Linked DNA regions of Daphnia pulex. The protein of the gene in region 1 interacts with the protein of each later gene in a pairwise test. Links are inferred from orthologs where the notes say so. Each region holds a gene or a part of one and is shown in the gene's direction. Other genes may lie near its edges.

What was found.
Region 2: the proteins of ubiquitin-conjugating enzyme E2 variant 2-like (region 1) and nucleoside diphosphate kinase-like interact in a two-hybrid assay, tested with the Caenorhabditis elegans proteins (2 studies listed by BioGRID). The link is inferred for Daphnia pulex from reciprocal best matches to the Caenorhabditis elegans genes uev-1 and ndk-1.

The regions. Positions count from the first base shown.
Region 1 is NC_060018.1:3,969,905-3,973,097, forward strand, and holds ubiquitin-conjugating enzyme E2 variant 2-like, read left to right. Parts: upstream 1-1,497; 5' UTR 1,498-1,604; coding exon 1,605-1,632; intron 1,633-1,972; coding exon 1,973-2,121; intron 2,122-2,180; coding exon 2,181-2,306; intron 2,307-2,377; coding exon 2,378-2,518; 3' UTR 2,519-2,693; downstream 2,694-3,193. Other genes in the region: diacylglycerol O-acyltransferase 1-like, read left to right, coding at 1-6, 89-345, 415-459, 534-712, 775-925, 980-1,159. UniProt on the Caenorhabditis elegans protein: Involved in protein ubiquitination, but has no ubiquitin ligase activity on its own. The uev-1-ubc-13 heterodimer catalyzes the synthesis of non-canonical poly-ubiquitin chains that are linked through Lys-63.
Region 2 is NC_060028.1:8,036,083-8,038,847, reverse strand, and holds nucleoside diphosphate kinase-like, read left to right. Parts: upstream 1-1,378; 5' UTR 1,379-1,511; coding exon 1,512-1,640; intron 1,641-1,730; coding exon 1,731-1,832; intron 1,833-1,890; coding exon 1,891-2,003; intron 2,004-2,062; coding exon 2,063-2,183; 3' UTR 2,184-2,265; downstream 2,266-2,765. Other genes in the region: E3 ubiquitin-protein ligase TRIM37-like, read right to left, coding at 1-26, 91-267, 338-439, 502-610, 682-965, 1,117-1,122.

The DNA.
Region 1 (3,193 bases):
AGCCACGTGCGTACTAGCCATATAACTTATCATTCAAGGCCAGTTATCCTCTAAACCGGTTTCTGATTTTTACTATGTATTTGTTTAGATCCTTCTGATGTAGACAACGGCAAATCTATGAACGAAGTAGTATCCTATCCAAATAATCTGACTGTCCATGACTTGTATTTTTTTATGGCAATCCCCACGCTGTGCTACGAACTCAATTTTCCACGTACTTCCCGTATCCGCAAGCGGTTTTTGATCAAACGAGTCATCGAAGTATTAGTGGGAATGCAAGTTGTTCTGGGTCTTTTCCAGCAATGGATAATTCCCAGCGTTAAAAACTCGCTCGAAACATTCTCGGTTTGTCCTTTTTTCTTTATTCATTGATTCATCGATCATAAATCATACTCTTGTAATTTATTTATGCAGAAAATGGAACCTGTACCTGCCACCGAAAGATTATTGAAATTAGCGGTGCGCTACAAATAAGATATTCATATTTTTCTAATGAAACGATTGTTGTTAAACTGTTTTCTATTTTTACACAGATTCCCAATCACTTACTATGGCTCATCTGGTTCTATCTTTGCTTCCATTCCTATTTTAACATGTTGGGCGAGGTTCTTAAATTCGCCGATCGCGATTTTTATGGTGACTGGTGGAACGCGACTAATATCGATGTTTTTTGGCGCTCTTGGAACATGCCAATTCACCGGTGGGCCGTTAGGTATGTTTTATCTTAATTATCGGTTAATCCGTGTAATATAAAAATACAATTTTGATATTTAGGCACTTGTACATGCCACTGATCGAAAGAGGCTATGGTAAAACTGTCGGTTCCGTGTCCGTCTTCCTGCTCAGCGCGTTTTTTCACGAGTACTTGGTCAGTGTCCCATTACGAATGTTTAATTTGTGGGCGTTCTCTGGCATGATGCTGCAGGTATTACAATTATCACCTTAATCGATTTTTAAATAACTTAAATCTTTTACCCAGATACCATTGTCTGCCGTGTCTCACTTTGTCGAGAAAAAAGCTGGGCCGCGATTAGGTAATGTTTTGGTGTGGATGTCGCTCATACTCGGTCAACCTCTTTGCATCATGATGTACTACCATGACTATGTAATTACTCATTTTGGTAAAGACTTGATGGAACAGTTCAGCAAAATGCGATAGAATTCACATTGTCTAAAGTGCCACGGTGGGGTTTTTTCAACCAATTACTTTCCTGTTAACTATGCTGGTCTAAAAACGTTCCTCATGAAAATAATGGTGAAATTAGTCTCGAGTCTATTTAGTTCTGAAATATTGTCATTCCGCACACACGAGTTCTTTTTTATACTCCTTTTTTGTTACATGAAATAGTACTCAACTACTTTGTGATCTGCCTGGGATTCCTATTCTAGTTACTTATACCCCTTGTTGTCCAATGAATAATAAACCATGGATTATTAGCAAAATTTTGTCTTAATTTGTTTTTTTGTTTTTTTTTTTTTTTATTTTAAATACAGTTGATAACAATGTTGCATTGTCGTTTGCTGATTGGCTCATTGCGTTGCGACGCTTGAGGTGTGTAATCTATCTGGCAACCCGGCGCGTAAGAAGTTTGTCTTCATACAAGATGGCAACCACAGGAGTAGGATCAGCGGGTAATTCTTACGTCTCTAAATTTGGTTTTTAATTATTTAATTCGTATGGTTGACACAAATTTAATGAAATTCAATCAAACTTTACGTGTCTGACTTCATTTGGATCACTTGGCATATTATTGCCAATATCCAGGGTTCGGTTAAAATCGTATCGGTTTTCTGACTGATTAGTTGTTTTCCTTTTCTCCATTTTTTGCTGTCAGATTGTGTCAAAAAATAGAAAAAAAAATTTAATTGGTCTAACTCTTTAAAGAGATTATTTTTCTAAAGCTTATTTCATTTTCATATTATTGGCTAGCCATATTATCAAATGTATAAATGGTGGATATTGTAACCTTAGATGTGGTAGTGCCACGAAACTTTCGATTATTGGAAGAACTTGAACAAGGACAGAAAGGAGTTGGTGATGGAACCATCAGTTGGGGTTTGGAGGATGACAGTGATATGACCCTGTCACACTGGACAGGCATGATCATTGGCCCCCCTCGAGTAAGCTTGTATTTAAACACGCCTTATAACTTGATAATTATTTTGTGCCTTTTTTGTAGACTGCATTTGAGAACAGAATGTATAGTTTGAAGATTGAGTGTGGTATGAAATATCCAGAGGAGTGCCCACTGATCAGATTTACAACTCGTATCAATATGAATGGTGTGCACAACACAACAGGAATGGTAAATAATAATCTGACATTGTTTTTATATATTTATGGATTTCATTTATTTAACCAAACTATTGTTGGTAGGTTGACAAACGAATGGTGAGCATCTTGGTCAAATGGCAGCGCAACTATACGATCAAAACGCTATTGCAAGAGTTAAGAAGGATGATGACCCTTAAAGAAAACATGAAGCTGCCCCAACCACCAGAGGGAACCAATTTTTAAGTTGTTATTACGGAAAAAAATGATGTCGTCGTCGTCATGGTGGAAAATAATAAAAGGAAACTTTCATTCTTTCTTTGCGGAACGTTCATCCTATTGGCCTAATCCCCTTCTCAAAAATGATGTAAAATCTTATAGCTTCATTGGAATATAGGCCAATACACATGCAAGTCAAATATTTGATTTGGTTATGATTTATATCACAACCAAATAAACAGAAGGACAGACATTTTCAGTGTTCTTTTTCATCCGTTATCACGTTTTATTACATCACCTTAATATATAAATTTGTAATTCCTATTAGCTATTAGGAGTGGTATTGGGCTATTCGGCAGTATCAAGAACGAATTTACTGGCGCCACACTGACCATGCCATCTATCCAGGGAATGTCCAAGTAAGAATGTAAGCATGGCATCGACTCCTCCCCTTTTACACTTTCTTGTTTTCATTCGTATTTTCTTCGTGTCGTGTAAACCTCGCGTGATTAGTTTTTCATTATAGAAGCAGCACATTTCTCCCGGAAGGTTGTGCTGAATTTTGGATTATCATAACGTTATAGGGATTCTTTAGGAAATTATAATCATCGTTTTTAAGTGACAGTTGTTTTTTTGAAAACATTCGTGTTGTTTTTCCTCTTTTTTCCCCTCAGGACTCGTGTCTAAATAGTAACATGTTAA
Region 2 (2,765 bases), on another chromosome or scaffold:
TCATTCTGCAGTGTTGCTTCAGTTTCCTTAAATGCGAAGTGATAAAAACAATTTTTAAAATTTTAAAGACATTAGTGTAAAGAAATCTACCTGCAACAATGCTTCCAAATGGTCAGTTTCTTGAGTCAGAACATTCTTTTGCCCCACCAAGGACAAGAGTTTGCTTCGTAGCTGAGAATCTAGACGAGATACTATCAATTCTACCGCATGACGTATTTCACTCACTTTTTCATCTTTCGCTGTTCGGACACTTTCGACGTTACGCTCCTTTAATGAATGAGGCACATTTAAAAAAAAGATTGATATACTGGCAATGTTATGAAAACTAATGTTTTACCACATCTTGAACGATCATGCTTATTTCTAAAAGTCTTCTCCTTAGCTGGGCAATTCCGTCCCGAATTTTAGTTGCGTGAGTTTCGTACATTCCATCTAAAGGCTGATAAGAGAAGAAATTATATTATTTCTAATCTAATTTTTATCCTACAAAATTGTAATTACCTGAAACATATGGCCTGAATGAGTACCTTCCCAAAGTGCACATTTATGGCAAATACAGCTCTTGCAAGTGACACAATAGACTGAGAGTTTTTCACTGTGCATATCACACCTTTAAATATTAATTCATTAATTATTAACATGTTGATTCTAAATTTTCATGGAGATAAGATAAAAAATTACAAATCAGTGGTGCTGGCACTGTTTGACACTGAACTGGATGGTGTAACTGAAGGAGCACTCTGTAGCTGGAGGCTCTCTAATTGCTGAGTAACATCTCCAACCCATCGACAGTTGACAAGCTCATGAGGTCGGAGTGGAAGTCTGCAGTGAGGACATTGTGAGCGCTGTTCCACAAGCCACCGACGAATGCAGGCAAAGCAACAAAGTTTTGAGCAATGGGGACATAATCTTGCATCTCTCAATTTGTCCATGCAAATAAAGCACCTAAACACATCAGCAATACCCTGAAAAAGAAAATAAGATCATCGGTACTATACAATTATATTAATTTAGATGTGCAACAAAAGTCTCAGGGGAGATGTACGTGTTTAATCGATAATCGCTGATTTCAATGGAATTAACACAAAATAACTGAATAACATAAAGGAAATATACCTCCATGTTCCAAATAAATGAAGCCTATCAATAAGCTCAAAACTGGAATAGACAAAAGCGAGTTCGATAAACAGCTCTTGTCACGACTTGGATGACTACATCGACTATTTTACAAAGACATTCTACAACAATCAAACGACTTCAAGTGACCGCCCGAAGCAGAAATTCAAGGTTACACGAAGTAAACACCTTCTGTCAAATGATAATGGAGTTGATTTCTTGCCCAATAGATGTCGGAAATTTGCGGGAGGGCAGCCGCTGGGCGGGACCGCGGGAGGCGAAGAATGTAAAAAGTTAACTTACACGTCTGCTTTTTGCAATCACGTTCATTCACCTTGTGACATTAAGATAAGTCAGTTCTTTCTTTCTTTCAAGTCTCAGGCCATTGCAATAATATGTCTGGAAATCAAGAACGTACCTACTTGATGATCAAGCCTGATGGTGTTCAACGAGGACTCGTTGGTGAAATCCTCAAAAGATTCGAACAGAAAGGTTTCAAATTGGTCGCACTCAAGTTTCTGCAGGTATGATTGTAAAGTAGTTGTGTTCTGTATGTCAAGAAAATGTGTCATTTGTTCTGAATTGTGTTTTATGTATGGTGTATGTCACTATAGCCTACTGAGGAGCTATTGCAGAAACACTATGCTGACTTGTCTGGCCGCCCTTTCTTTGCTGGTTTGGTGAAGTATATGGCATCTGGACCAGTTGTTGCAATGGTAAACTTTTGTTACTTCATTTAGCAGTCAATTTTAATACATGCAATGTACGTCTCAGGTCTGGGAGGGTTTGAACATTGTTAAGACTGGCCGTCAAATGTTGGGAGAGACCAACCCTGCTGACTCCAAGCCTGGTACCATCAGAGGAGATTTCTGTGTTCAAGTTGGCAGGTAAGACTAGTTCTGAGTGATACTTGATAGACTGTACTTTACATTTGCCTTTAAATTAGGAACATCATGCATGGATCTGACTCTGTTGAGAGTGCCAACAAGGAAATTGCCTTGTGGTTCAAGGATGAAGAACTTGTTTCATGGCAGCCAGCTGCTAAAGTTTGGGTTTATGAAGACTAGATCCATTTAGAAATTTTTGTTGCCTTAAAACATATCAGATTTTATGGTTTAAAAGTTAAGAAAATATAAATCTGAAATAGAATGTCTTCTCAATTATCTATAATATTCTGTTATAACTTATAATGATTTGCTTGTTCATTATTGGCTTATTAGCCTCATAGCAATCTAAAAAAGTTATTTTTTGCTCTTTGAAATGAGATACATTTAATATTTTGAGAAGGTAAAAGTGAGTTAGAGAAAGTGATGCTATGCAACTGCAAAGTTGTTCATTTGAATAATCAATTTATTTTACATGTACTAAATTATGCCGAAATCCACTGCTTCGTGAAAATGTGAATATTGAAAGTACAGTGCTAATAAATTGGTTGTTTTGTTTACATTGTAGTTACAGTTTAGACGGTTACAAGCATTAGATTTTTATGATTCATACTAGAAAATTTTAGCCCGTCCAGGGCCGGTCCTTAGTTGGCCTAGTGTTAAGTCGGACTTTTTAGCAAAAGGCCTTCCTTGAGAAATCAGTGTTCAACGTGAAAAAGAAATTTTTCTTGGCACCGTTTCATCTGCTTTTTCGAGTATCACGTT